Linked DNA regions of Diceros bicornis minor. The protein of the gene in region 4 binds, or shares a complex with, the protein of the main gene of each other region. Links are inferred from orthologs where the notes say so. Each region holds a gene or a part of one and is shown on either strand. Other genes may lie near its edges. The genes, in order: STRN3, STK25, STRN and STRIP1.

The links.
Region 1: the proteins of STRIP1 (region 4) and STRN3 are in contact, whole or in part, in a cryo-EM structure (PDB 7K36), measured with the Homo sapiens proteins. The link is inferred for Diceros bicornis minor from reciprocal best matches to the Homo sapiens genes STRIP1 and STRN3. Residues at the interface, in NP_149079.2 of Homo sapiens: Arg441, Ile445, Tyr447, Leu449, Thr455, Val456, Val457, Gly458, Leu459, Arg491, Ser492, Pro493, Leu494, Ser495, Phe792, Leu793, Pro794, Val795, Asn797, Cys798, Leu799, Val802; in NP_001077362.1 of Homo sapiens: Thr64, Pro66, Gly67, Leu69, His70, Tyr71, Gln73, His74, Val88, Glu89, Ala91, Glu92, Ala95, Arg96, Phe99, Leu100, Glu103, Gly106, Gln107, Leu110, Asp113, Leu114.
Region 2: STRIP1 (region 4) and STK25 share a complex: the UniProt entries of both Homo sapiens proteins name them as parts of the core of STRIPAK complex. The link is inferred for Diceros bicornis minor from reciprocal best matches to the Homo sapiens genes STRIP1 and STK25.
Region 3: STRIP1 (region 4) and STRN share a complex: the UniProt entries of both Homo sapiens proteins name them as parts of the core of STRIPAK complex. The link is inferred for Diceros bicornis minor from reciprocal best matches to the Homo sapiens genes STRIP1 and STRN.

The regions. Positions count from the first base shown.
Region 1 is NC_080744.1:17,618,051-17,625,423, reverse strand, and holds the start of STRN3 (striatin-3), read right to left. Parts: upstream 3,031-7,373; 5' UTR 2,819-3,030; coding exon 2,537-2,818; intron 2,418-2,536; exon of another isoform or gene 2,144-2,417; intron 2,034-2,143; exon of another isoform or gene 1,754-2,033; intron 1-1,753. UniProt on the Homo sapiens protein: Calmodulin-binding scaffolding protein which is the center of the striatin-interacting phosphatase and kinase (STRIPAK) complexes.
Region 2 is NC_080776.1:28,317,302-28,325,167, forward strand, and holds the start of STK25 (serine/threonine-protein kinase 25), read right to left. Parts: upstream 3,022-7,866; 5' UTR 2,936-3,021; exon of another isoform or gene 2,874-2,935; intron 2,245-2,873; 5' UTR 2,152-2,244; coding exon 2,122-2,151; intron 1-2,121. UniProt on the Homo sapiens protein: Oxidant stress-activated serine/threonine kinase that may play a role in the response to environmental stress.
Region 3 is NC_080751.1:47,156,286-47,164,047, reverse strand, and holds the start of STRN (striatin), read right to left. Parts: upstream 3,015-7,762; 5' UTR 2,876-3,014; coding exon 2,642-2,875; intron 2,501-2,641; exon of another isoform or gene 1,767-2,500; intron 1-1,766. UniProt on the Homo sapiens protein: Calmodulin-binding scaffolding protein which is the center of the striatin-interacting phosphatase and kinase (STRIPAK) complexes.
Region 4 is NC_080743.1:43,079,664-43,087,577, reverse strand, and holds the start of STRIP1 (striatin-interacting protein 1), read right to left. Parts: upstream 3,044-7,914; coding exon 2,864-3,043; intron 370-2,863; coding exon 300-369; intron 1-299. UniProt on the Homo sapiens protein: Plays a role in the regulation of cell morphology and cytoskeletal organization. Required in the cortical actin filament dynamics and cell shape. Part of the striatin-interacting phosphatase and kinase (STRIPAK) complexes.

The DNA.
Region 1 (7,373 bases), on a different chromosome or scaffold from region 4:
CAAGTGACTCTGACTAGCACTCTCACTTAGGAATCACTGTCACAGAGCCTCACTAACACAGCTTTACCCGAGTCACAAAGACAAAACAGCTTTAAGACATAATCCTTGGGTTAAGTTTCAAGTTTCTAAGACAGACTTTTACCCCAAATTCTTTTTACAGAGAATAAAACCATAATGCAAAGTTCCAATTTAAAATCATTTCCAAAGCCAGGGAAAATATGATTCCATATTAAAATTTTACATCAAAATTAGATATACCTCAGGCTCTTTGTATTCATTATTGAAGTTTTATCTTGAATATTAAATATATTTAAATACACTTTAAATATATGTGTAGATGAACAGTATAACCAAAGCTGAAGACAACAATGATATGTAAGCTGTCTTATTTCTGTTATCTTTCTTAAAAATAAGTTTAAATTTACAGTTAAAATTCACTGATGCTTCACTTAAACCCTCCCAATAAATTTTTATTCAACACATACATTTTTAAATCTACATGTCACAAGCAATCTTACTGAAGAATGAATGCACTTAAAGCAAATTCAATATTCCAGAAGCAAACTTGAAACTCTACTAACCCAGTAAAACATTTCAGAGAAATATATAAAAACAAAAACACACAAACACAATCATGAACATTTTATTCCAAAAGAATCAGTATGAAATAATGAAAATCCCTGGAAAAAATTAAGAATGTAGAAACAGGAGAACTACTTCAAAATAATCAAACAAAAAAAGCTTAGAATGGCTATATCAGAACTAATATGCCAACAGATCAACTGAAAGCAAGTAAGCAAAAGGAATCTTCTTTAAAAGACTTTTCTGTTACTGTCAAGGAAAGGAGAACTAGAAAGGAAAGCTAGGGCTAGGGCAGACAATACAGACCTCATTCATGAATAGATTTTACTAATTTAGACACAAGTAAAACATTTTCTCAGCTACTTACATTAGCGAAGCTTATGAACGACTAATGCAAGTGCTAACTTCAGAAGTGTTAAAACCTAAGCTTTCATACAACAGTACAAAGGTCAAAAACACTATATCAGGGACTGGTGAAAGTTATATTTTTAAAAACCCAATAGTATATCAAAACATAATTCTAAAGTATTGAATAGACTAACATGTTAATTTATACTTAATTTTTCAAGACTTGATAAAGTATCAAAATATCTCAGTATTCTCACTTTGTAAAAGTTTAACTTTACCCACTTTGCAGAATCAAATAAAAGTTTACTAGTTCAAAATCAAAGTGAAGAGATATATATATTTGAGGACACTCTTTCAAAGTTAATCCAATCTTCTTTCTTTCAACACTACATTTCCCTAACTATCCACCGCAGGCATATAAGACATATATGTCAGCGCAGAATACTGCTTACATTCTAAATATACACCAGACTGAAGAACAGGTGCAACACTATTTAGATGCATGCTTTTTTCTTCTAAGCCTAAATTTGCCTTGGAAAGGGATTTAAAGATAAACACAATACCCAAAAAAGTTAAACAATCCTTTTAAAAAGATGTAGCCATTCTGAAATCCAAGACATGAGCCCTGTTTAAACTACCAACACCTTCCAAAAGCTAGGAAAACCAGCCTATCAAAGTTTCACCTTAAGAGGACCGAGGCAGGCTCAATTATGCAGGGTCCTGAGGATATCTAACTTTGCTTCCGCTCCCTGAGTTAGTAAGGCGTGTCAAGTACGTTTTACTTCAAGCTAATATTAAATCTTGTCTCACTCGTTTCACAAAGACAGGACAGATAGTCTGGTTTGGCTTTTTACGGGCAAAGAAGGGGAGAGAGGAGGGGGAGGCCTGGTAAAGGGCACTCTAAAAAGAAAAATTCAGTATAGAGAAGCCTGGATGAGTCAGTCACTAGAGTAGGGAAGAACTCAAAGGGAATCTGAGCAAATAAGGCAGCATCCCAGGTAAGAATGTCCTTCAAGTTGGCAGCAGGAAATGAAAACTTCACAGGTCAGCCGCAAGCCATTGTGCTTGGTAGCAGCCCTGGAAGGAAGCGTGGCTGTCAAGGGGTAAGTGCGTACCAACTCCGGGGGAGGGGGCCAGACATGCCAAATCGGAAAGGGGGGTGATCCGGCAAAATGTGGTAAAATGCCCATCCCAGTCCCTCTCCTCGGGCTCTCCATCTTCAGAGGCATAGGCAAGAGCAAGCTCAGTGCCTAGCAGCCCCATGCCGGACTCTCCCACAGAGAGGAGCTCGGCCCCAAGCCCCGGAGACCCGGGCAGGCCGCCTCCAGAGGAGCCCCCGCAGACGCCATACTCAAAGCCAAAATGGCTGCCCCAAGGAAGCCCGCACCGCGCAGCTAGGGAGGGTTGGGGAACAAGCTTCTGCGGAAAAGGGGGAGGGGGAGTCTAGGAAGAGCCGTGGCCAGGAACAACGCCCCCGAGCCGCACAGGTAGGTTCCTCTCGTCGTCCCCAGGCCGCGGGGCTCCGACAGAGGGGAGTCCCGGCCCCACCCCCCGGCCGGGCACCCCGCCGCCGCAGCCGTCCCGCACACCGACCCCAGCGAGGTACCTGCAGTTCGGCCCGCTCCACCTCCCAGTGCGCCCGCTCCATCTCGAAGCGAGCCCACTCGTGCTGGATGTAGTGCAGGATCCCTGGGATAGTGTATTGCTGCGGCCGGGACAGCTCCGGGCCTGCCGCGGGCCCCGCTCCCTCGGCGGCCGGAGGACCCCCGCCGCTCGCCGCTCCATTCCCCCCTGGCGAAAGGCTCACGTTCCCCCCAGGTCCCTGCTGTGGCCGTGGAGGGGCCGCCATCCCCGGGCCGCCACCACCGCCTCCGGCGAGCTCGTCCATTGTGTGTGGGGCCCCGGCCGGGGCGCAGGGCGAGACGCCGACGGCTGGGGGAAGGGCCGGGGAGGGTGGCCCCGCGCTGGTGGCGGGGCGGAGGCCGGCTGGGAGAGGGGCGGGGAGGACGTTGTTGCTGTATGCCTGCCGTGGGTCAGAGCAGGGAGCTGCCGGCCGCCGCCATTACAGTCCCTCCTCCATCTGCCCGTCTCACTCACTCACTTTAGGGGAAGGGGGGGCGGCGGCGGGAGGGGCAGAGGGGGCAGGGTTGGGAAGGGGAGAGACGTAGGGCCGTCGCTCCCGCGCAGCATGCCGGGTAGAGAACGCCGCCGCACGACTAGTAGCCAAATAGAGTCCGGCCTCACCCTACGCAGGCGCACTGACGACGCAGTCGGGGTTGCCGTTAGAGGCGGGGAAGGCTCCCCGGCCCCGCCCCTAGGCCCGCCCTCAGGCTCGCTCCGGGTGTCTAGCGGCCGCTCCGGGGCAGTGGGCCTCCGACTCCGACCTTGGGAAGCGAGTAGGTGTCTGGCTTCCCAGTGGTTTCCCTCGCGCAGTCAGGCCCCGGGCGCCGTTCCCCAGCCAGGGGTGTCACCGACGTGCCTGCTTCCTGAGCTGGGTTTTAACCTGGCTGGTCGCTCCGGTGCCCTCAGCCGGTCCCGGATTCCTGACGTTTCTTTTGCATTCCTTGCGTGTTTCAGGCAGTCCCAGAGGGTCGGGGCTCTTTCTCTGCTTGTCACTCACTCTCCCTCTGGTTTCTTAGCACCAGTCAGTTCCCGGGGCCTTGGGGACGTTCTCTTTTGGCAAATAGCCCGGATCCCACCGGACCTGGGGACTGATTCCCCGTCTACGTTCCGAGTCCCGGCTTTGGTCCCACTTCTGTGCTTCTCGGTCGCCCGTCGCAACTGGTTCTTCTCTGCCTCACCTCTTCTTTCTTATTCTAGGATGGATTCTGTTTGGGGGGTTAGGGAGGGGAGCAAGAGCGCCTGTTTTCGTCTTTTTTATTGGGAGAAGGGGAGTTAATGAAAAACTTTAGATCTTGACGGTGGTGGGTAGAGGGAGACAGATACTTTGGAGGAGACTGGTTAGACTAATAGTTTGATGTTTTAGAAGTGAATTAGCTCACAAGTATTGTCATTCGTAGCAGAATCTTTTGATGGAAATAAAATATAAAAGCATCGTGAATATAACTTAAAATCGTAGATGAATGGCTAAAGGTGTTTTCCTGGGTCATTAAATGTTGCTTGAGTGAATATAATACACACACAAAAGACAAGATTAATCTTTTAAGTGCTGTAGTGTGTTTTTATGTGCTTAGGTTGCCAGGAAACATCCTTAATGAACTAGTAAGTTTATGAAAGTTAATGTAGCTAATAACCATTTGGTTGAAAACTAGGACAAAAATATTTAAAAACATAATTTTTAGGTTTAGTAATTACAGCTATGCAGGAAAATTGCATATAAAATTGCACTTTTAAATTTTTTTTCTTCTTTACTACCAATAAAATTTTCACTATGGAATGTAAGGACCACTCAGGGTGTAATTTCAAAGAGATAAAGTAGTACGTCTTAATTTATCATGTCTGCTTTACTGTTGTTATAGTTCAAGGCAGAGCACATTGGACTTATTCATGCTGCCATGTTTTATTTATGTATGAGGCAAGGTCTTAGGTCACAATATTAAGAACTATTTCTCCACATTCTTAAAGTACTGTTTTTGCATTTTATAGCGACCGACATACAACCTGCTTATTCAGTCTTGTTCTTTTTTGAGGGGCCTCACAGCACATAAAAAGTTCAGAAATACCCTGCTGCCTGAAGCCCATACAGCACACATTTGTGAAAGGGTGTGGTTGACCTCAATGATGTTGGCATCAAGAGAAGAGGAACATGCACACTTAATATTTCCCACTGGTACCTCAAGGTCAAGAAAAGACTGGATTCATAATCCTTCTTTTTTCCTCCCCACTGACTTTCAAAAAACAAAAAACTCTGCTCCTCTTCTATTACCTGTCTTATGTTTTTTTTTAGTTTTATTTATTTATTTATTTTCCCCCCAAAGCCCCAGTAGATAGTTGTATGTCATAGCTGCACATCCTTCTAGTTGCTGTATGTGGGACACGGCCTCAGCATTGCCGGAGAAGCGGTGCGTCGGTGGGCGCCCGGGATCCGAACCCGGGCCGCCAGTAGAGGAGCACGCGCACTTAACCGCTAAGCCACGGGGCGGCCCCCCTATTACCTGTCTTATTAAGTGGCACTACATCCAAACCTGTGGCCTGGCAGTCATGCTGGTACCTTTCTTTCACTCAGCCCCCACATCCAATCCTTTTCTCAGTAACATCTTTCATTATCTTCAATAACGTCTTAGCTAAAACGTTCCCAAGTCTACTCTTCCCCGACCTCCCACTACCACTGATGCTTGAGTGATCTTCAAAAGGCAGATCTGATCCTGTCATTCCCTGCTTAAAATATTTTAGGGATCACCAGATTTAGAATAAAGCCCCAATTTTAGCATAGCATGTAAAGTTCCTTCAGAGGCTGGCCTGGTGGTGTAGTGGTTAAGTGCGCGCGATCCTTTTCAGGAGGCCCGAGCGTTCCCTGGGAATCTGCAGGTTTGGATTCCCAGCGCGCCCTGACGCACCGCTTGTCAAGCCATGCTGTGGCGGCGTCCCATATAAAGTGGAGGAAGATGGGCACGGATGTTAGCCCAGGGCCAATCTCCCTCAGCAAAAAGAGTAGGATTGGCATCGGATGTTAGCTCAGGGCTGATCTTCATCACAAAAAAAATAATAAAATAAAAATCCTACAAATTCTAGATCCTCTCTGTTGTTTAACCTACCATCACACCATCATGGCACTGCATTCGCTCCGCCTGAACTGTGCTGTTTTTGGCTCCTAAATGCATAATGATATTTCATTCCACGGGAATTTAACACATGTTGTGCCCCATTACCTCTCCTTCCTTCCTTTCTTCCTTCAAAACTCAGCTCAAGTGTTACTTCCTCCAGGAAGCTTTCCAGATTCCTGAATTATTTAGAGACCCTATCCTGGTAGTATCCCATGCTTATCTCCTAATACTTATTACTTTGAATTTATCTATGTATCTATGAGTGGTCAGTGATGCTCATACTAAACACTATGAAAGCAACACCTACACATAACAGGTACTGCAAATCTTTGCTTCACTTATTTATTTTATTTCCTGATTGGCTACTATTTTTCAGATACTCTACTAGTCCTGGTGATCCACTGTGAACCAAACAGACATAATCTGCTCTCACAGACGTGACAGTCTAGTTTTTAGGCAAACTACCTAGCACCAACCACCCTGGCTTCTTCAATATCTTGTTCAGCTCTGTCTTAAAACTGCCTCTTTTAAAATTTCACATGTGCTCCCTATTTGAAGAATTCCGATTGAATGTGTCTACATTCACTTTCACTATGGTTTTATAAGTGTCAATAATGCAATCTTTGGCCATGGTCTTCCTAGATCATAGTCCTTTATCTGCAAGATTGCCTCCTAGAGGGGCAAGACCCATGCCCCTCTTGTTCGCAGCTGTCCCCCCAGTGTCTGGGACAGTGTGATCCCCAGTGAATGTTTGATGAATAACTTAGATTTAGACTACACTAATATGAGTATTTTTCCTTCACCACAATCATTTTTTATTAGTTTTTGCTGCTACCATTTACCAGTTATCTCTTAAGGTTCAGTGACCAGAACTGCCCGGAGTATTAAAAGTAAAAGACACCAAGATTTTCTCCTGTGTTGGGAGAATATTTATTACACTTCTGACTTTGTGTCTGTGACTCCTGAGGACAGTCTGCAGTGAGCTCCTAGAACCTTGTCCCCTGTAGATACTGAGCTCTCCCAGGCCCTATACTCACCTACAACTCACCTAACTGGAACTCCCTCCCCAAACTGTGGCTGAGTCATTTCCTCTCTTCCGTCTCACCTTTGAAATTCCCTATTTGTTCTCTCCTTTCATCAGTCTGTTCATCCCTCCTCTACTCCCACTGATTCTCTCAGTTTCAGTATACTACTCATGATCTTCGAGAAAGCCTATTTATATCTTTAATCCGTTTAGGATTTTAGGGTGTGTTTTTTTCTTTCCCATAAGCTAATCTTAGACACCTGTGTGCTTATTCTATCTGACCAAAAAGGGACTTGTCATATTGCATGTGCATATATTATGTCAGCAAAGGTATGTTAAGGCATTCCAGGCTTTTAAATAAGTCGAGAGTAGTTATCACTGAGACACCTTCTTCCCAATTATTGTAATACCTGATATACAGCGAGTTTTGACCCTGTATGGCTCCCTGTAATTACTCACCAGAACATCCAGTTTGATACTTGCTGACTGTTCTAACAAAGAGCTCAGTCTGGCTCACAAACACTAATCTAGTCATCTTTTTGCACCGTCTGAAAAGGTTGTGACAAGTATTCTTATCCCCATGCGGAGGGGAGAAAGCTGAGATAAGAGTTCTGTGTCACTTCCACAAGCCTTCAGAAGAATAGGAAGTGGTCCCGCTCTCACATCAGTGAGTGTATATGTGTGCTTAGAAACAG
Region 2 (7,866 bases), on a different chromosome or scaffold from region 4:
ACTCTTTGGGTTCACACCACTGCAGGTCAGTCACCTGAGCAGACAGCATGACAGGAACACTCCTAGCTGTGATCCTGACCCTCCAAGCACATCACAGGGACAACCCGCTCCCAGCCCCACCAGGTGAAGGAAATGCAAGTAGCTTCCAAGTCTGGGGGCCTCAGGCTGCCCTTCTAGATGACGCACATGGTCTAGACAATCACTCAGGCCCCTGGACTGGCTCTGGCATCAGTTCAAATGATGCTATTGTCAATGGCGTCAAATCAGCCCTGGGGCTGCCAGGTCCAGGGCCACCACCTGGGATTGTGTCTGGCGTTAGTGTCACCCCACAAAATGAAGGGAGCCAAGCCATCCCCAGCCACCACAAAACGGGCTGCAGCCAAGCGAGCACGACACGGGGGACCCCGCAGCCACTCAGGCCCTGTAGGCGGGGCAGGAACTAGCTAGGTGTAGGACAGCCATCTAGGGCAGGAGCACAGGCCACGGGGGAGCACGTCCTGCTGCCCCACAGGGCCACAGTGACAACCCTCAAGAGAAAACGACATCCTGTCAAGCTTCCTGCCACCGACAAAGGCTGAGTCTCTCCGCCCCTGAAAGGACAAAGGGGGCTTCCTTCCTTTAGGGTCCCTTCCCCAGCTCCTCCACACCCGCACTCCCTCCCAGGTCTCATCCAGACGCCCAGGCTAAGCGCCACGCACCAGTGGCACACAGGGGACAGAGGCAGCTCAAGGCTCCAGTTCCTCATACTGGGTCCCAGGGGAGCTATTCCTACAGCTCTTAAAAATAAGCTGGAGACAAAGTTTTTGCACAGCATCTTAGTCATGTAATTTACCAGACACAAAATGTCAAAAATGAATGAAAAATCTGTTAGCTTAATTCAGCGTCAGTCAGCAAGCCCTCGCTCCCATCTGTGGCCACAGCTGGTCCCGGATGCCATGCCCAACAGCTGCGCGTGGCGTTCCAGGTTTCTCCACAGAGCCCGGCTGGGTCTGGAGCTGAGCTCTGACTCCAGCCCCTCTGGCCCCCAAGAGGACACACACGCTTCCTGTTCCTCGCATGCCCAGTCCTCACTGATTCAGCACACAGGAGCAAGCCAGAGGGCTACACTCCCTTTAAGGGGAGATTCCCACACCTGGCAGCAGTCAGCCCAAATCGTGCCCAAACCGAACAAAACCAAACAGCCAGGATGCAGGAACACCTGGCCACCGCAGTGGTGTATTCTAGCGCAGTCAGCTTCAGGTCACACTGGCTTTGAAAAAACAAAAAGGCGGAGAGACGCAGACTACCACACCCCCGCCGGCTGCCACCGACCCTCCTTTCCCAGCACCAGGCACCAGCAGCAGGTCCTCGTTCCAGGCAAACTCTGTGGAGGGCTCCCAGGGAGTCAGCCAGTGAACATGCAAGGCCAGACACCTCCAGGCGGCTCGGTGTTGGGAACTACGAGAACTAATCGCCCAAAGAAGAGAGACGGTTGGCCTCTTCCAGGGAAGCACTTCTCGCCTGGCTTACACAGGTTCTGCAGAGCAGCCTTCTCCACCTCCCCCAGTGGAAACACTCGCACTCGCGTCCTCTGCTTTCCCTACATGCCGACTCTTACACCACAGCCACTTAACGACAATCCCAGCCCCTCTGGATTGTCCGTCAGGTGGGGGTCTCCAGCGTGGACCCTGCTCTTTGACGTCCCTCCAGATGCGCAGATCCAGGTTCCTGCAGGATTCCCACCCAAGCCACCCAGCCCTGCGCCCAAGATAGGTCTCTGCACACCCTCCTGGATCTTGCACTGTGGCTCTAGTCTCAAAGGCCTGTGGGCTTCTGCCCCACAGCACACCCCATGGGCCACCCTGAGTCAGCCCTGCTCCCCACCAAGCCTGAGCACCTCAGGAATGGTCCCCACTTTGCCCATGACGGGCATCACAGGGTTCCCCAAGAACACTCCTCCCTTCAGCCCACATCCCCTTAATAGACCGCTCTCCCAAACCCCCAGGATGATTTTCAAAAGATACTTCTGGGTGAAATAAGACGTCTCTCGTGATCCACACCTCTCTTGGACTCTGCAGTCTGCACTCCCCTTGGGGGGCTCAAGCACGAACACACGCTTACAAGGCAGAAACCAACCCTCACCTGGTTGGCGAATCCCCTGAGGTGAGCCATGTCTGCGCTGCCCTCAGACCATCCGCTGCAACCCCAGGAGGCCCCAAGATCCCGTCTTGAGGCTCTGGAACCCGGCTTGCTCGCTTCAGTCAACTAGAAGGAGAGCAGGCCCCTGGGTGCCCTGTTCGCCCCCTCCCAACAAGACCCCCAAAGGCCGCCCGCCCAGCCCTGCCGGCCCAACCCCCGAAGGGCTCACCAACCCGGGGCACCCCCTGGAAGCCCCTCCCACCCCTGCCCCCAGCCTCCAACCTTCCTCCAGGCCGGCTTCCTCACCCCCCCCCACCCCGTCCGCCCCCAGCGCCCTCGCCCCTCCCCTAGGCCATCCCCCACCGCTGAGCCAGGCCCCCAGCGCCCTCCTCCCGCCAGGTCCCGCCCCCGGCGCCCTCCCCCCAGCCAAGCCCCGCCCCTAGCGCCCTCCCCAGTAAGCCCCGCCCCAGCGCCAAGCCCCACCCCCCCGTGACACCCCCCCCACCGCCGGACCCCGCCTCCAGCACCCACTCCCCCGCCAAGCCCCACCCCGAGCCTTTCCCCCGCCCCCATTGCTCTCACTCCACCTCCAGCACCCTCCCCCAAGCCAAGCCGCGCCCCCAGCGCCGACCCCCCCCAGCGCCCACCCCCCCCGCCAAGCCCCGCCCCCAGAGCCCTACCCCGCCCCATTCCCCCCACCGCTCGGACCCCTCCGCAACCGCCCCAGGCGCGGGCCCGTCCGGCAGCGCGCCCACCTCCGGGGGGCTCCATCCCGGCCTCCCCCGGCCCGCTCTGCAGTGCCCGCGAAGGCTCCCACCAGCAGCCTCCGCTCGCCGGGGTACGCCTGGGCCCTCCAACCCGCGAAGCAGCGGCAGCGGCAGCGGCGGCGGAGAAAGCCCGGCGGCGGCGACGGCGAGGGCGGCGCGCGGCGTCGTGGCCCAGCGCGGGGCTCTCTGGGACACCGAGTCCCCCCGCCCGCCCCGCGCCCGGGTGCCCGCCGGCGCTGGACTACAAATCCCGGCAGGCCACGGGGCGGGCGGTGCCGCGGCGCGCACGCGCGCCGCGGGGCTCGCTGGGACTCCGAGTCGGGCTTCCTGAGCGACTGCGGACTACGTCTCCCGGCAGGCCGCGGGGTGGGGCAGGGCAGGGGAGGGGCCAGGCAGGGCAGGGGGCGGAGCCGGGCAGCGGTTGGGTAGAGGCCGTCCTCCGCTCCTCCTTCTCTGCTCTCCGTCTTCCGCCTTGGTCCGCTATTGCCGCTTTCTCCGGCGGCCTGCCGTCCCCGCCTCATCTCCCCTCCCCACCGTCCCTCTCCTGCTGTCCCCGCTCTGTACTCCCTTCCAGTCCCTTCATGTCCTTCTCCATCCCCACTCCCCTGGCCTGCATTTCCTCCTCCCTTCCATCTTGGCGGGCATCGGCCCACCGTCTTGTCCCCGCTGCCACCGTCCTGTCCCTGGGAGCTGCCCCTGCAGCAAGCCAAATGTCAGTCGAGGGTCGAATGCAGAAAGAAAATGTGGTCCATACGTGCAGTGGAATATTATTCTTCCCCGAAGAAGGAAGGAAATTCTGACACAGACTACAACGTGGATGAACCTGGAGGACATTATGCTCAGTGAAATAAGCCAGACACGGAAGGACAAATATTGTATGATTCCACTTGTATGAGGTCCCTAGAGTCGTCAAAGTCGTAGAGAGGGAAAGTAGAGTGGTGGGTGCCGGGGGCTGGAGGAGAGGGATTGGGGAGTTAGTGTTTAATGGGGACAGAGTTTCAGTTTTACAAGATGAAAAGAGTTATGGAGATGGATGGTGGTGATGGTGGCACAACAATGTGAATGTATTTAATGCCACTGAATTGTACATTTAAAAATGGTTAAAATGAGGGGGCCGGCCCCGTGGCGTAGTGGTTAAGTTCAGCACGCTCCTCTTTGGTGGCCCAGGTTTGCAGGTTCAGATTCTAGGCATGGACTTGACCACTCATCAGCCATGCTGTGGTGGCAACCCACATACAAAATAGAGGAAGATTGGCACAGATATTAGCTCAGGGCCAATCATCCTCAAGCAAAAAGAGGAAGATTGTCAATGGATGTTAGCTCAAGGCCAATATTCCTCAGGAAAAAAAAAGTCCACTCTACACCTAACATGTGTCCCAGCATTCCCACTCCTAGGTATTTATTCTAGAGAAATGAAAACTTATCTTCACACAAAAAACCTGTACATAAATGTCTACAGCATACCTATTCACATAGCCCCAAGTGGAAACACCCCAGAGGCCTTTTAGCGGGTGAGTGGATAAACTGTGGTCCATCCATATGCTGAAATACTGCTGAGCAGTCAAAAAGAGGGAACTACTGATACATGTGACATCTTGGGTGAACCCTACAGATGTCATGTCAGAGGAAGAAGCCAGTCTCAAAAGGTTACATAGTATATGATTCCACTTAGGCGATGTTGTCAAAACAACAAAATATCAGCCAAGGGGAACTGATCAGTGCTTTCCAGAGGTTGGGGGAGCAGCCTGTCCCTACAGAGGAGCAGCAGGAGCAAGCCTTTGAGGGGTGATGGGACTGCTCTGTATCCTGATTGTGGGGGGGATCACACAAATCTATACATGCATTAAAATTCATAGAACTGTACGCTAAAAAAGGCAATTTTATTGTATGTTTTTCAAAAATAAAAATATAAAAATTAATTATAATTCCTTCATATCAAATATGGAGTCCGTGTGCAAATTTCATATGTGTGTGTGTGTGTACATATGGATATGATTTCATATATCCGACTGCACACAGTTTGTTCAAATCAAGATCCCAGTAAGGTCCATATGTTATGATTGGTTTGCTTGTCCCTTTTTTCCCCCTGCCATGTAGGTGCTGAAGAAGCCTAGCCACTGTCCCCTGCAGGGCCCCAGACGGCACTTTCCTGATTGCACCCCCCTCACCATGCCATTTCAGTTGTTCCTCGGGCCCTCTCTCCTATGACTTCCCAGTCAAACTCGAGGCCTAGGTCATCTTTATCAGACTGCACACACACCCCTAAATGGGAGGACAGCAGTATGTCCTCCTGGAAAGTCCTGGAACCTGGTGTGTCTGAGGACACCCCAACAGGCACCCAGCCCCCTCTCCTGCACGCCCCCACCCCGAGGAAAGTCCCGCCCCACGCCCCATTGATGCTTCCCTGAGGATGTGCAGAAGTGGGGCTGGAGGAGGGATTAGAGGAGGGCGCAGCCCCCCAGGGACCACTGGTCCACCTTGGCCCCGGGATGGGTTGGCATCACCAGCGGAAACTGAGAGAAGAGAACGATTTGAAGATGGAGTAGGCAAGGCTGCCTCAAAGCCAGGGGAGGCTGCGGGATGACCTGGGGGGTCAGCTCCACTGTAGAGCCCGATGGAAGCAGCCCTCCCTGAATACGTAGCCTCTACGTCAGAAGAGCCACAGCGTCAGGGATGGCCCTGGGCCTGTGCACTTGCTGAGGACAAACGGCCTCATGGACGAGCCCTTTATTCTCTGCCAAACCTCAGGGTGTGACTACAGCTGGGGTGGTGGGACCCAGCCTCCCAAAGGCCATCCCGCTGTTCCACACGGCTGCACACTGGCTGCTGCTTCTGGGAAGGTGGGGTGCTCGCAGGGTCAGCTTACTGCCTCACTTCACTCATTGTGAGTTCTTCTGTCCTCAAGGGAAACCCCAACTGAGGCTCAGGGATCCTGTGAGGCCACCAAGGTGGTGCTGAGGGCGCTGGGCCAGAAAAGCAGACCATCCTGACCAGTGTCTATCTAGGGAGGCCAGGCTGGGGAAGGCCAAGCCTCGTTGTGGGGCTGCTGCCACATTCTTTCTGGGTGCCCAGTCTTCTCTTCTCTCCAGGGACCCAGATCCATGAAGCTACACAGGGCTAGGAATTGGGCAAGGGGCCGGCCCCAGACCTGCATTTTCTCAGCCCATTGCCATGCCAATCGGCACCTTAGTGGCTGCCCCTTTGTTTGGTCCAGGGGAGCCCACGGCCATCCCTGCACATAACCCCGGGCTGCCTCACTGTCTTGCTGCCTGTCAGGGTCCCCTACTCCCTGACGTCAGCCTCCGTGTTAACCGCAGGGCCTCCCTGAGCATCTTCAATCCTCAGGAAGCTGATCCAGGATGGTGCCCCCACTAGAGTATTTCTGAATGCCTGGGGGAGAGAGACAGAGAAACAGGCACAGAAAGACAGAGAGAGGAGACGTGGCTGAACTCAAAAATAAGATAAGAACCTCTGTGTTTCAGAAATAGATCAGAAACTCAAAGCGTGGCCTGGACGAGTCCTGGGATTGTTGCGCTCCGGGTCTGGAAGCAGGCAGCAGTGGCCTGGAGTACAACCTTTGCATGGTGGAGGTCAGTGTCCCAGAGGAGGACAGGGAGGGAAGCACACTGCAGAGACAAGGCTGAAAAACCCAAATGATAAACAAGCTTGTGAAGTTGGGGCTCCGGGCAGGAGATGGAACTTCAACCTCCGGATTTGCTCCCTGGGTAGGGCCAGGAGGAACTGGGTGGATACTCCCCAGATTGGCCTGCAAGGGGGACCACAGGGCAGGGCCCAGGGAAAGGCGGTGGGAGCCAAGGGATGCGGCCCCAAGGGGCCCAAGTTGGTGTCTCCCAGACAGGGGACCACAGGCCACAATCCAGGTGAGCTGGTGGCAGGCTGGGGCTGCTGCTCCCCCAGCATCTGGTACTGCTGCGCCCAGTGCAGCCCGGGCTGTATCCTGAGTCACCGTCGCTTCCCCCTCCAGAGAGTGGTCTCGAGGTGCCTGTGGCCAGTCAACTCTCTCAGCCTGGACTTTAGATGTCTGAGACCTGGCCACGCTTCACCCATGGAGGACCGTGGACCTCAGGGCCCTCTCTTTCTCTGCCTAGGAGGTGGCCACAGTGCGGAGGCTGATCCCAAACTGGAGAGCTTACCGCCTGTGCTGGGGGATGCCTGGGCCAGGGGAGGCCTATGTGGGTTTCACAGGCTCTGTAGTCTCTCTCCAAGACAGCTGCAGGTGAGCTGGTGAGAGAGCCCGGAGCCAGGCCTCCACTCAGGGATCCAGAGAAGACCAGAAAAGTAGCCCACGTTTGCTTTCATTCACTTGGGAAAGCTGCCGGGGCACCAACAGGAAGAGGCAAGACGCCTGGGCCCAGGGGATCCCGTGCAGACCCCTGTGACAGCACCTGGGATCCCCATCCTAGACAATTCAGAGACAACATGGCAGAGAGAGGCCAGGAAGGAGCTGAAAAGCAGCCTCAGGAGTTAGGAGAACGGTTATGGAAGTGGGGAGGCTGCTGTTGTCTGCATCCCAAGGTTGTGGGATTCAGACTCTAAGGGTAACTGAGAAATACTGAGAAGCTCCCAAGAGCCTGTCCTTAAATTTTCAGGAATTTTGTGAGCTGGTTGTTAAACACAACCATTATCAAAAAGTAATTATATACATATTATTATATCTATCCCATATATTAAATAGAGGAAGATGGGCATGGATGTTAGCTCAGGGCTAATCTTCCTCACCAAAAAAAATAGGTAAAAAATACTCATCACCTCCTAATTATTTTACTACATTTTTCTGTTATAGCTATGCCCTTGAGGTTGCTTACAGAGTGCGTCAGTACAGTGGAAAACCTGCGCAATGTTGTGCTGCTCCACAACTCTCCATCAGTGAGGTCATGTTGGCAGCATGACCAAATTCAAGTCCCAGGCCAGCAGGGTTGTTTTCTGGAAGAACTTTCTTCTTGGCTTACAGGCACCCACC
Region 3 (7,762 bases), on a different chromosome or scaffold from region 4:
CGTTTTCAAGAAAAATCCCAACGGCAAAAGAAAAATGAAGGGATGTTAAAATTTAAGGATGTTGCTATAAAGAAATGATTTAAAAAATATATTTTCAATTATGCTACTAAGGGAATCAAAGACTACAGATTTCGTGGAAACTCTCTCCCCCAATAATACATAATATAATACTTGTTCTGTTTGGAAAATATGACACATTTTTTAAGTTTCTCTGCGACAATTTAATTTGAGCACAAACCAAAAGACTGTAAAAATGTAGTGCCCTTAATATGATGAGCACCAATTGGAAACCTACCTGAAGTTTAACATTTGCCATAAGTAACCGAAAAAGTAGTGTGTGTGTGTGCGCGCGGGCGTGTGCGCACATATATGCACACAAACGCCCCATAACATTTCTGTCAACAATGAACCACATATACGATGGAGGTCCCATAAGATTAGTACCATACAGCCTAGATGTGTAGTAGGCTATACCACCTAGGTTTGTGTAAGTGCAGACTATGACGTTCACACAAAGACTGAATCACCTAATGGTGCATTTCTCAGCACGTGTCCCTATCGTTAAGCAACACGTGACTGTGTTGCTTAACAAACTGAATAAAAAACTGAAGAGTGATTAGTTACAGGTAAATTGAAAAGTTTAAACATGGTGGGGTGGGGAGGGGTGAGACGGGCTGGAAATTCCCAAACTTCCACAAGTAGGAAGGTAAGAACTGTTTTCTTGTTTGTTTTTGACCAAATTAGTGTGACAGCTTACATCCCCTAAACTGGAAAAGAAATTAAAACTTAAGCAGCTACATACAAAAATCATTCTCTGCAACTGTACAACGTTCAAGTTAAAGCCTGCCTTTAAGGCTTCCTTGAAATCTGGAAATCCACAAGCTCTTTTATGGAATGCATTGCTAAAAAGGTGAATTACCAATAAATTTAAATGAAGCATTTAAGTCTGCTGGTTACTATACAGACATGGTCAGATTCATTACGAGAAAAATTACAAAGATCAATAGACTAAATACTAAAGGAACATAATAGTAGGGATGAAAAAGCTGCCAAAAAATATAAACATACAACTAACTGTAGAATAAAGAACCAGAAGGAATCTTAGAAACAATGGGTCACTCACCGGGCTTCATTCAACCCCTCCCAGAGGTCTTCCCTAACCACCTCATCTAAAATATCTGCCCCTATCACCCTCTATTTCTGTACCCTGATTTATTTTTCTCATAGCAGTTGCCACTATGGGTCAGTATATTACATAGGTGCATTCGCTGACTAAAACATAAACTCCATGAGGGCAGAGGCTTTGTCGGCTTTGTTAATCCCAGTGCCTAGAAGCACACAGCTAGCACTCAATAAATGTGCTGAATAAATAAATGATGAAACTGAAGTTAAGAGAGGTTAAAGGACTTCCTCAAGGTCACAGAGCTAGCAGCAAGCACAGCCAGCACCCTGCCTGCTTGCTCTTTCCACAGCCCCTTCCACTACACCAAAGCAGCCTGTTCCAGCACATGATTCTATTTAACAGATTTCTCCTTTCCTTTTTTTTTTTAAAGTGCCCAAGAAAATACATGTTACCAAAAAAAGGGATACATTGGCTAGCATTTTAACTTCAAGTGTTTCACCAACCAAAACTTTACTCAGATTTCATAAGCATACAGGATTAGCCAGTAAAACAGAAAAGCACAGCCACTCATAGTCCTTTAAGTTCCCTGTGAAATTGGCGTCTGCCTTGGAAGTTTTAAGAACAGCCACTGAAACCTACTTACCAATTCAGAACGGCCTGTAAAGTGTCAGCCTCACTTTCATTCTTCTAAGAGCCCACAATAGCTCCTCCCTGGATATACTTTATCTTGCAGATTATGCAAGGAAATGTAACCAACTTTAAAGCCCTGTTTAGTGCCTTTTAAAGTACAAGTCAATCTCACAAAACACAACGTAGAATTAACACTTGAGAAGTTTTAGATTCTGAGAACAGGAAACCATCACCTGACTGTGATCATCTAAGCTCTTCATTCAAAATCCACGAATCTGAAATACCTAAAAGAAACGCGGAGGGGGTGAGGGAGAGGGAAGAGAAGAAATATTTGCATATGTAAAAGGGGAGCTGATAGTCCTAGTAACACTTTCACCCAACATCAGCTTCTTGCCTAAAGTCAAGGCCTCACGAACACAACTTCTGTTGTCTTCTTTGATCACCTTCCTTTCAGACAGAGGAGACAACTGCCAATACCTTTTGCGGGGAACGTCTCTAGACCTAGCATGAGCCTCACTACGGCAGTGTATGATCTGCTCGGCATCTCTCAAAACTACTGTCAGCCCAATTAGTAAACTGACAGGGAAGACCTAAAACGTGCGATGGCAAGAGCTGAAATGAGACTGAGTTAAGAGTGGGAAGGTGTAGACGCAAAGGAGCAGGGAGGATAAACAACGCATCAGGGGCGGGAGTGGGAACCCGGGTCAAGGAAGTGGGGTCAGCGAAAGCCAAAGGTGAAGGGGGGAAGGGGACGAGGTTCTGGTGGGATAGGCGGGAGCAAACCGGGAGAGAACCAGCGAGGGCTGAGGGGGGAGGGGAAGGGTCCGGGGCGGGGCGGAAGGGAGCGAAGAGGCGGGATGAAGAGGGCCTGGCCGGGAGGGTCTTTACCTGCAGCTCCGCCCGCTCCACCTCCCACTGGGCTCTCTCCACCTCGAAGCGGGCCCACTCGTGCTGCAGGAAGTGCAGGATCCCTGGCAGGCTGTACTGGGCTCGGGCCGCCCCCGCCGCAGCCGCCCCGTCGCCCGCAGCGGCAGCCTCCGCCAGAGGCCCGAGACCCTTGGCACCGCCGGCGCCCGGGTGGTTGTTGCTGAAGAAGACGCCGGGACCCGCCTGCTCGTCCATGGCGGCCGCAGAGACCCGGGGAGCTGCCCAGGCAGCCAGCAGCAGAGGCAACGGCGGCGGCCAGCAGCGCCTCCTCCTCCCTCCGCCGCTCCCCGCCCACACCCCAGTCAGCAGGGAGCAGCCTGGGCGCGGGGGCCGGCTGAGCCCGGGACGGGCCGGGAAATGGGTCAACTGCGGCGCGCGAGCGGCCTGGGGCTTGCTGGGAAATGTAGTCCCGGGGCGTGGGGCGGGCGTCCGCGGCGGAGGCGGCCTGTGGGGATGCGTACGGCTCGGGCGCGGCCGCGGCCCCGCCCCGGCCGGCGACGGCGGAGGGCGGCCCCGCGGGCAGCGCGGGTTTCCTCGCGGTCGGGCTAGGCGCGGGGGGGCGGTGCTCCAGTCTCTCTCGCACGCGGAAGTCATCGGGCGGTGCTCCCTGCCGCACACTCACATACGGAAGTTATCACGCCAAAATACCGGCCCGAGCTGCACATCTTTTAGGGTTTCCTGGTAGTTCTGTTAAGAAACAAGCTCAAAGCGAGCTTCTCCGGTCCGGCCCCTGCACTGGGGTCTCCAGCCGATCTCAGCCCTCCCTCTTCGGCTCCGACTTCGGTGTTTCTCTGATCCAAGACATTCCCCAGTTCTGCCAACCCGAGTATCGCTATCGCTCCTGCCTTTCTTTTTCACTCGGGGGTTCAAACCTGTTGCCTGATCAGTTTTCACTGATAAAGAACTCTGATGACCTCTCTCCTAGACTGGCAGCGTTCAGCTTCTTCCAAATTCTGGTTTGTTCACACCTCATCTGAAACAGTGCTCCGCTCAAGTCGCTTTCCCTTTGCAGTTAATCTTGCAGTAAATCCTGTAAATTTTCAGATACCCAAGGCTCTGTTATTTCAGTCTCCTTTTTCCGTGCAGTTTTTACTCAATTCAATTAAACAAATATTTGATTGTCGGTTATATCTGTCGCTGGGGATATAAAGATAAAGGACACAGTTCCTGTCATCAAAGGGAGATTGGCAAGCATATAATCAATTCTCACAGTGCCTTAAAGCTACACTACCTAAAAGAACAAAGTCCCCTTTCTGCTCCCTAGAACTGTCTTAGGTATGCAGGCGCTTCTCATTTTCACTTGTCCCGTTCCCAGTTTCTTCCACGGTTCACCTGCAAACTGGCAACAATATTAGCCTACAAAGGCACACCAAAGTCCTTTCAAGCGTTTCTCGGTAAATGTTATCCGTCTCCGAAATCCCTGAAATTACGTCATTATAACTTCAGACTACCATAATGAAAGGAAGGTGCCTGAAAAAATTTAACAAATGAAAATGATTTTAAGTACTTAATTTATCACCCGAATAAGTTTTTTGTAATTCTTTTGTTTTGTGGGGTATCAGACCTGATGGTTATGAAAAAAATTAAAGATACAGTCTGGTGAGTGATATGTAAAGGAAGGACATCCTGTCCCTGTGCTCTACCCTCCTCTCTTCCCATGGCTACATGTGGAAAAGACAGGAAACACGTTGTACCTGCTCTGGTTGCAAATAAAGATGGCAGGCTCTCTTCTCCCAGTTACTGAATGTTTCTGCTTTATGAGTTCATTCTTTATTATAATAAAAGGTTGATCCAGGCCTGGCCAAATTCCCTGTGTCATAAATTGTTTTGGCTGTAATTGTCCTTTGAGATACTGCCCAATCCTGTCATTCTACAGCTCAAGAAACTAAAGTCCAAAGAAGTTGAAACTTGTCCACAATGAGGCTTTGAGGAGTGGCACAGCCAAGATTAGAAACCAGAATTCCTGACTGCCAGTTCATTGATCTTTCCGTTAACACATTGCCTCCTCTCTTACTTAGACCTATCAAGTAACAAGGGGACAATAATGAACAAGGGCATGTTTTTTCATCTGAGGGATTTAAGTAATCTCACAATGTTGAATGTTAAGAGCTATTTTTTTCTCTAATAGTTAGAAGACAGGTCTGAAAAGGCCTTTAAATCAATTCATAACAGACTATAAAACAAATTTATAGATAACTTGGACTATCCCACATACAACTGTGCTTTAGTGCATAGTTCGACTTTCTTACTCAATATCTTTTTGCTTTTCAAGGACTTGTTTATACACAAAACTATTTATGATCTATAATGTCATGACACCGTCACTCAATATACCAAAATATTAAGAATGATTATATTAAGGTGGAATTCTGAAGAAATTTACTTTTCTCTTTTTCTAAAAATTTCCATATGTGGTACTAATTCTTTTGTAATTTAACAAAAAAACATTACTTTTGAAAGAAGACTTTCCCTTGGAGTTCTTTTGCCCTAAATTTCTTTAAGAGAACGAGGACCATGAATCCCATCATTTCCTCCTATACTGAATCAGCTTCTGAAACTGTTAGTTTTTGAGTAGTGAGCTTACCAGTGATTTTTTTTTCCCCTTTGTGCTTGTCTATATTTTTCATTTTCTGTATTCAGCATGAATTACTTTTTTTTAAGTAAACACTTTATCACATGTAACATATATACAGAAAAGCTCACAAGTGGTAAATGAACAACTCAATGAACTTTCACAAACTGAACCCTTCCACATCACCACCAGCCAGATCATGAAACAGAACATTGCAGGCATCCCAGAAGCCCCCACTTGATGTGCATTCTCAGTCACTACAGCAAAAATGTTTTTGAATTTGAAAAAAAAACAATAACTAGAAAGGATATGGCAATTAGTGAAAGCTAAATTTTATTCCTCACACTACAATTTTTCAAGTCTGGAAATCTTAGACAAATGGTTTAACTTTTTCAGCCACAACTCTCTCATTTTTAACATGAGAATAACATTTACCTTATAAAGTTACTGTGAAGATTAAATGAGAGAAGAAATGTAAATCCCCTAACACAGTGCCTGATATATAGTATAAAGTGAATAATGATAGCTGTTATTGTGCTAGAGTTCACAAGACTAACTGAAATAACACTTGTAAAAATCATGAATACTAGGGGCTCAAAAACTGTTCTTTTTCCTTTCTCATCCCCTATTCAGAACTTTAATCCAGCAGAGTTAAAATAATCTTTAAAAAAAAATTAATGCCTACACCTATTACGTATGCCTCAGCCCTCAAGGTGTTGCTGATTTCCTGATTGTTTCATTTTATAATTAATAAAGCCTGTGACACAAAAAAATAGGGTTTCTTTTCCAAGCACAGAAAGCAGCTGTCGAAATGTTGATTTATATATCAGCATAACCAGTTTAAAGTGAAAAATTGTGAAATGCTAGAAGGTTATTTAGATAATTGAAGTGTTTGCTATTTTTTGGTTTATATGTGTATGCTTTGTGAGGTAGGGATTATAGTTCTACACAGTGACAATTCATCTGCTCTTTTTTTTTCTCATTAAAATGAGTGCTGGGGCCGGCCCGGTGCCGCAAGCGGTTGGGTGCGCGCGCTCCGCTGCGGCGGCCCAGGGTTCGCTGGTTCGGATCCCAGGCGCGCACCGAAGTACTGCTTGGTAAGCCATGCTGTGGCGGCGTCCCATATAAAGTGGAGGAAGATAGGCACCGATGTTAGCCCAGGGCCGTCTTCCTCAGCAAAAAAAGAGGAGGATTGGCGGATGTTAGCTCAGGGCTGATCTCCTCACAAAAAAAAAAAAAAAAAAATGAGTGCTATTGGGGCCAGCCAGGTGGCGCAAGCAGTTAAGTGCGCGTGCTCCACTGCAGCGGCAGGGGGTTTGCCGGTTCGGATCCCGGGTGCGCACCGACGCACTGCTTGGCAAGCCATGCTGTGGCGGCGTCCCATATACAGTGGAGGAAGATGGGCACAGATGTTAGCCCAGGGCCAGTCTTCCTTAGCAACCAAAAAAAAAAAAAAGAGGAGGATTGGCAGATGTTAGCACAGGGCTGATCTCCTCACAAAAAAAAAAAAAAAATGAGTGCTATTTTTTAAAAACTGTTCAAAATGACAAGTTATTTGATAATTTTATTTATTTATTTTTTTCCCCAAAGCCCCAGTAGATAGTTATATGTCATAGCTGCACATCCTTCTAGTTGCTGTATGTGGGACGTGGCCTCAGCATGGCTGGAGAAGCGGTGCGTTGGTGCGTGCCTGGGATCCGAACCTGGGCTGCCAGTAGTGGAGCGCACACACTTAACTGCTAAGCCACAGGGCCGGCCCTTAAATGACAAGTTATTTGGGTCTCTGACTCTTTAACTGCTCAAAGAAAAGCTTCCAAGTTGAACTTGATGGCTCTTTCAGAATTCTGGCCAGAAGAAAAGGAGTGGACTGCTGGACTGGAGAGAGGCCTCTGCTAGGGTGAACAGAACTTTGGGGAAAAGGAATATTCAATAAACCACTATTTATCAACCCCTTCTACCATGTGCCCACTCCCTAATTTCTGTCACCTGTCCCTTCTGCCTACTCTGCTTCTACCTTTCCTCAGCCTCCAAACTTACTCCCTAGTTTTGAAGTCTGGTAATGACTGGGTTGGGGAAACAGCCAATCACAAGTTGGGAAGTGGAGGAATTCTAATATCTAAATTTTTTCTGGGAGTCCAAGAATTAAATCTATATCACAGTCTTGTGATAAGATGGGAAAATAGCCTCTATTATTTATTATTATTATTACTATTATTTTCTTTTGGAAGAGTGTGGTTGAAATTAGAGAGTTGCCTAATTTTAATTTAAATTTCACTTTATTTAATTTATTTGAATAAATTTAACTATTTAGATAAAATTTAATTTTGAAATTAAAATTAATTTTAATTTTGTAGTGACTGATATTTAGAGAAATAAATACTTAAAATCTGAAATCAAGATTGCTTTAACAAATCTAAATATCTAATACAGGGGGAGACAAATGATAACATCGCTCTGAAGTCGTAGCAAGACTTCTCTTGGAATATTGATGGTGATCAACTTAAGATTCT
Region 4 (7,914 bases):
CACTCAATCTTATTAAAGACCAATAAGGAAAAAAACATCCCCAAATAGGGGCCAGCCCGGTGGCGTAGTGGTTAAGTTTGGCACGCTCCAGTTGGGTGGCCCGGGTTCGCAGGCTTGGATCCTGGTGCAGACCTACACCACTCATCAAGCCATGCTGCGGCAGCAGCCCACAAAGAAAATAGAGGAAGACAGGCACAGATGTTAGCTCAGGGCTAATCTTCCTCACCAAAAACAAACAAACAAAAAAACAAATAGAAAAAACAAAACCCAGCCAAATAATATGAAGGTCTATGCTTTACCTGAGAGCTCTGCAGCCCACTTATCAGTGTCAGCATATTCAAACTCGAGGTCTGGTGACTCAGAATAGCCCTGTTGAAAAAAAGAGAGAGAGTGACACAAAAAGTCATTGTGAGTGTTTTCCAAAGGAGGAAACACATATGCTTCCAGATACACTGCTGTGTTACACGACACCATCACCTCCACTCTTCTGATATTTTTTCGCAGTATTTTGTCTCATGGGCGAACTCAGGTCTCCCTATTAAGCCCTCTCGGAGCACCTTGCACTTTTCCTTTAGAGCACTTATCATAACTTATAATTATATACTGGCATGTATACTTGTTTAGTGTCTGCCTCTCCAAGAGACTGCAAGTTCCTTGAGAGTGGGAACTTTGTCCATTTTTCTCATCAATGATTTCACGATGCCCAGCACACTACTTGGCATGAATGAGTGAATGAATAGTTTATACTCAAAAAAATACTTGTTGGATGAATGAACACAAAGCTTCCATGCATTTTGTATAGTGAATGACCATTCTACATGGTGCTAAGATTCCGGAAGCCTCATTTCTTTCTTGCTAGTGGGCTACCAAAAGCTCAAGACAAAAATGAGCATCGACACTCTCAGCCTTCCTGCCTTTTTCTCAAACTTCAGGGAGAAGTGACAGACAGAGTAGGCAGCAGCCAAACAGAATGGCTCCCCTCCCAGACACAGGAGAGAATATGACAAAAAGAATCTTTTTACTGCTGGGGATAGGTGATCACTGAGAATATGCCATCTTGGAAGGCTTGTTCTGTGAAGAGAGAAGAAGTGAAGAAGTCCTCAGGTTTAATCACAATCTACTTGGGAAGACAAAGACCACCCACAAAATGCCCTAACATGCCCACAAACACTGAATGACATGAAGAATTCAACTCCTTATTCAGAGGCAACAGAATGTATACTTTCACAGGTTACTGAACTTATTTCTTCATTTATGGAACAGGGATGACAAAAATCCATCTTGAAGGTTTTTAAGGACTACTCAAAATTATGTAGCGCACAGTGGGCTCTCATCAAGTGTCAGTCTCCCTGTCCTCCAGGCATTGCTCAGGCTCCCAGCCTACTGATTTCAGCTATGACTCCAGAAAGAGCCCAGGGCAACATCAGCATCTCTAAGAAAACGAATTTAGACAGGTGTCTCAGCTTAAATGTGTTTACTGACCGACCTTCTACATTTTCAGTCTATATGGAAATTAAAGGATAGAAAGAGAAATTTAAATGTATCAAAGGGTGTTTATTTGACCATTCATGGCTACTTAGGAAAATTTAAAACTATTTTTAAACTATAACTCCTCTCATAATGAAGGTGGGTTCACCCCCACCACTTTCATAATCCTCTACACTTGAAAAATTATTAAGTAGTCTCCATTGATGTCCCATCACCCCACCAGGCACGGGCTCCTACAAGGTCAGTTTCACTGCTTTTTCAAATAATTCACTTCAAGCTCAAAGTATGTCTACTTTGGACTTGCCAAATTTTGACACGTTTTACCAGAGGTTTGCACTTGCCAACAAAAAACAAAAGCTTGAGAGGAACTGATTTCACAAGTCTAAAGAGAGTACTATCACGCTTTAGTATGACCTGGACATAACGTTATGCCTGGACAACGAGGAATTCCCTCTCATTCTTCAGCGCCTGACTGCTGATCAACCTCTGAGTTGTCTCAGGTGAAGGAGCCTCACAGTAAGCGCTTTAGGAACGTGCTGATTAAGAAGCCCTAAAACGCTGCGACGTGTGTCTTCATTCATGAATTCTACAATGGGAGGCAGTGGGAGTAATTCTTTAACTCGGGGTGAGGTGACTAGTCAGCTCCAAACTATGGTGTCTCCGGACCGGGAGGAACAGCCCACTAGCAAGAGAGGAGGGAATGCTGAGTTCTAATGTACGTTTAAAATGTATATTTCTGATCGGAGTTCAGCATCGGGCGCGCTGGGCACACCAACCACCAGGCACTGTCAAACCATGGCCCGAACCCGCCGTGGCTAAGGTCTGAGTGAACAGGGAAGGTTCCCTCCCTCCTACCCTAGCAGTCTCCGGGCGCGTAGTACTATTAGTGATAATGAGCTCCGTCCGGCTTCGCAGTGCCTGCCAAAGCGTGGCCAGGCCCTTCCCTGCCCACACACGCCGTCCCCCGCGCTGCGGAACCCACAGGACCAGAGGCGATTAGAAGTCGGGGTGCAGCCGCCCGGCCCCCTGCAGCGCACGCAGACCACTGACTCTTCACCCCCGAACTGGGAGCGGGGCGGCTTCCCCAGGGGCTGGGGCCCCGAGGCCGCGCCCACAGCCCCAGCCCCAGAGGAGCAGTCACCGGCTCCGGAGGTTCTCCCGGGCGGCGGAGCTCGGGGCGGGGACCCCGGCCTCGCGCCCCCGGCCCCGGGGATGCCAGCCGTGCTTCCTGCTCCTCTCGCTGTAAAATAACAAGTCCCCTGCCGGGCCCTACCGAACCCTCTGAGAAGCCCACCTCGGATCAGAGAGCGGCCCCGGACCCGGGCCACCCGCCGCCGCCGCCCGCCGCTAGCCTCGCCCCCCCGAAGCTCCTGACCTCCGAGTCTTTGCGCTGGTTGCGGTTGAACTCTCGGGCTTTGCCCCCAGGCAGCAGACCCCCGGCGGCCCGCGGTGCCCCGGGTGGAGGCTGCGCGGTTGCTGGCGGCGGAGGTGGCGGCGGCTGGGGCTGCTTATTGTTCAAGATCAGCGAGCCGGGTCCGCCGGCTGCCGGCTCCATCTTGGCTGCTCCACACCCCCGGCTTAATTCGCGGACAGTAGCCGCGATACAACTCTCGCGTGATTTCCTCCAGGAACGCTCCCTGGTCGCCATATTAAGTGTGGCGGCAAGTGCCGGAAGCCATATTGACTGCCCAACACCTCGTGAGATTCTGCGTGAAACGTTATTCTTCTCGGGCCAGTTCGTTTCCACTGCTTTTTCAGTACCGGCTTAGTTGTTTTATTTGTGCGGCCTCCCTTAGCTCCTTCAATCAGTTTAGTCTCCCTTTCCTTTCTTTAACATCGTTTTGCACTTGTCGCTGTTACAGCCCTGTTGAAAGCTTAGGGGATACAGTAGTGAACAAAATGGACACCATCCCAGTCTTCACGAGTTGACATCTACTTGGAGAGGTATGCTAAGCAAATGAATAAATCAATAAAACAATTACAGTTGTGACAAATATTTATTCATCGTTCATTCAAAAAACATTTAGTGAATGTCTTCTAGCTCCAGGTAGTGCGATAGAAGGGAGAATAAATCAAGTTCCTGCCCTCATGGTGCATAACATACTGCCTGGTGGGAGAGACAAACAGTGAGCACGCAAATATAATGTTAGACAAACAGGTGCTGAGAAGAAACAAAAAGAAGTGTAAGGGATTAGAAGGTGGCAGCGCTGGTGGGGGCGGGGGATGGCTATATTAGGCTGCCCCAGGAAGGCAGGCCTGAGAGTGCGATTTTGAATGAGTTCTGAAAGAAGTGAGAGCGGTGCAGAGATCCACAGAGGCAACACGGGCAGAGGGACCAGATAACTGCAGAGGCTCTGGGTTAGTGTGCTAAGAACTGAGTGAGCCAGGGGAAGAATAGTAGGAGATGAGGGCCAGGTAATGCATGAGCCAGATAAATGCAGGGCCTTAAAAGTCATGGAAAGGAGTTTGGATTTTATTCTAAGTGAAATGGGAAACAATGAGAGGATGTTAACCAGGAGGGTGTCATGGTCTGATGTTTAAAAGACCAATCTGGCTGCTTTTGGAGAAGGGATTGGAGAGTTGCAAGAGTAGGTGAGGGTAATCGGGTTAGGAGACTATATAGATGGAAATAATAGTGCCTTGCATCAGGGTGGAGTTTTGGGTTGATATGATATTTTTATATTGTGTAAATAGATTCAACAGGATTTGCTGAAAGGCTGGAATCCTATCAGCAGGATGGAGAGGAATAAAGGATGAGTCCTAGATTTTTGGCTTGAGCAAGTGGGTGGGTGGTTGTATTACTTATTAAAATAAAGAAGTCTGGGAGAAAAAAAACAGGTTGAGGGAGAAGATCAAGATTTCTGTTTGGGACATGTCATATTTGAGATGCCCGTTAGACATCTTAGAGGTGATGTGTAATAATTACGCGTTACTGTGCTGTGAGATCCTTAAAGGCATTTTATTATCTTTGTCTCTCCAGAACTACATCTTGGCTGCTCCACACTCCCAGCTCAATTCTAGGAAAGTCGCTGTGGTGCAACTTTTGCATGATTTCTACCAAGGTCCCACCTAGTAGGTGCTTTAAAAGTCTTTTTTTGTAAAATAATGAATAAATCCAAAACCACCATGTTGCTACTTCCTCCTACCTAGCTTCCTGTTCTTTGCCTCTATTCCTTCTCAAATCTAGTCATACACTTTGTAAATTAGCATTTCATCCAAACTAGGCTGGGCCAAGCTGATAGGAAAAACTAAGGAATTTGCAGGAAAAGGACCAGTGCTGAGAGGCTTCTTAGATAAAATCAGCAAATCCCACACGACCCAACACACAAATGATGTTTAGTTTTAGTGACCACAGTTTGGACAAGTTCTAAGACTGACCTACCATAAGCTCTATCATCTGGGAAAAAAAAATTTAGACCTTTAAACACTGTACACTGCTTCAGCTACATTCAGAACAAGAAAGGTTTGGGTTCAGCAATTCCACTTGTAGTAATAAATCCTAAGAAAATAATCAAAGATTTAGACAAAGATATATGTATGATGATGTTCCAGGCAGTGGTATTTTCAATAGTGTAAAGTTGCGACCAACCTAATCTGAGAAATAGCCAATAAGAAAATGGCTAACTAAATAATGGGGTATGCATAAGATTGAATATAGAGAAGCCATTAATATTTGTGTTTAATATTAAGAATTTTTAGTGACATGGCAAAATGCTTATGATATAATTGAATGTACAATTGGTTCTGTGTGTGTGTGTGTGTGTGTGTGTGTGTCTATGTCTATGTGTAGAAAAGAGACTGGAAGGAAATATACCAGAAACTTAGTAGGTTTTATTTCTGGATGTTGGAAACATAGGTTATTTTCATTTCCTTCTTTATACTTTTCTGTGTTCTTGGAATTTTTATAATCAATGTGCTATTTTTATTAAGGTATAATTTATACTCAATAAACTGCACATGTTCAAAGTATACAATTTGATGTATTTTGACATATGTAAACACCATAAAATCATGACCACAATCAAAATAATGAACATATCCATCACCCCCAAAAGTTGCCTGTGCCCCTTGGTAATCCTCCCTTCTACTCATTACTGTGCCCCTCTCTCATTTCTAGTTAACCACTGATAAGCTTTCTGACACTTAGATTAGTTTGCATATTCTCCAATTTTACATAAACAGAATCATACAATATGTATTCTTTTTTGTCTGAATTCTTTCACTCAACGCAGTTATTTTGAAATTCATCCATCTTGTTACATGATATTAATAGTTCATAAATAGCATCCCATTGTTTATCCAGTCACCTGTTAACAGACATGTGGGTTGCTTCCAGTTGTTCTGGCTTGTTCAAACTTAATATTGAGAGGTAACAAGCCCTTTTTATAAAAACTGTCTGAGCCTGTGTGGAAACCTTTCCTGAATGAAATGCAGTGTCTCCAAGCTGTGACTAGCTCAAGAATTCTAAATAGGAGAGCTACTTATTTTATTTATTTATTTTTTTGTGAGGAAGATCAGCCCTGAGCTAACATCTGCCAATCCTACTCTTTTTGCTGAGGAAGACTGGCCCTGAGCTGACATCCGTGCCCATATTCCTCCACTTTATGTGGGACGCCGCCACAGCATGGCCTGACAAGCAGTGCGTCAGTGCATGCCCGGGATCTGAACCCAGGCCGCCAGCAGTGGAGCACGCGCACTTAACAGCTATGCCACTGGGCCGGCCCAGGAGAGCTACTTAAATTGGCATCACTTTTGAGTCCCAAAGAGTCCTCCCTTTACTCTGGCAAAAACTCCTTGAACTATACTCCATTTGGCTTCTGGTAGGAAAAAGGATTCCAAATGTGAAGGAGCTGAAGCACAGCTGGAGAACTCACTCTTCTCCATTTGCTAAGAAACTTGCAGAAAAGCACAGCCCCATAGAGGGTAGAAGTTGCAGAAACGCCTTCATGCAGTTCTTTTCCTTCTTTCCTCATCTGTAAAATGAGGATAATCCCACCTGTCTTATGAGGCTATGGATCAAATGAGCTAATTTATGTGAAATCATTTTGAAAACTGTAAAGCATTGTTTTTTCAAAAAAGAGAATTATTATTACCAAGAGGTGAAGCCTAAGGTGAGAAGGCCCTTCCTTCACCATGAGCAGTCATGGTTCAAGAGACTGGAAGTGAAATGTTATATTTGAGACATTGTAGCATTGCAAGGGCTCCACCGAGAACAGGGTGGTTGTTCCAGCGGGCTCTGTTGAAGGAAATTGGCACATACTGTGTTCTTATAGGATGTCAGGTACTGGGCAAGATGTTTCACATCCATCCATACCTGAGTGCGTGCTGGCAGACAAAGTGAGCCTGTTTCTGGCATTTTCCATCTTAGCCCTGGTCAAGATATTGCTAGTCACTGAAATGCTCAATATTAAAGTTATGACTCCTGGAGCATCTATGGGCAGATCTTCCCCTCTAGTTGTAGTGCCATGTGGAGTTCTCTCCATTAATGACTATGAGAAGAGGAAAAGATTAATAATATTTTAGGTAGGTGGTTAATAGGGCAAATATCATTAATCCTATCTTCCAAAGGAATCAGTCAGCTTAACTCTGTCCCAGGTCGGATTACTTTATAACCTCCTAGCCTTCTTACATATAGATTGGATTAGTCAAAAGAGGACCCAAATATACATCCAGTGGCTGATTTGACATCTCACGTGGAAGTCTAATGGGCGTTTCAAACTTAATATGCTACAGACAGAACTCTGTATTCTCCCTTTCTTGCGCCAAAATCTGCTCTTCTCCTGCTTTTCCTTAGGATCTAAATAAATGGTATTACCGACTACCCATTTTTCTCAAGGCAAAACCTAGGACACATCCTTGATTCCTCTCTTCTTCACCCCTCACATCTAGTTCACCAGTGACTCTCTCACCAAAACATATTCTGGAGCTCCCTATTCATGACCATTGCCACTCTAGTCTTCCCCACTTCCTCTCCTGGTACCCTATAACCAGTTCTCCTTGCAGCCAGGGTGAGGTTTTAGAACCACATATCAACTCATGTCACTCACTTGCTCTCAATCTTCCATGGCTTCCCACCTCACTTAGATTTAAATCCTAACTCTTTACCCTAACATATGAGACCCACATGGGTCCAGCAGGGATCTGCCTTCTTCTCCCACCTCATCTCCTACCACTCTCCTCCTTTAGCTTCATGACCCTCCATTCTCTCTCTCTAGCATGCCAAGTCTGCTGCTACCTTAAGACCCTTGTTCTGGCTGATTTTTTGGGAGAGGGGAACTTGGAATATTCTTTTTATATAGTAATAATAACAAGAGCAAATATTTATATGTGCTTGCTGTATGGCAGACACTATGCTAAGGACTTAAACTCGTTTAATCCTCACAACAACCCTATGGGATGGATACTGGTATTTCTCCTATTTTGCAG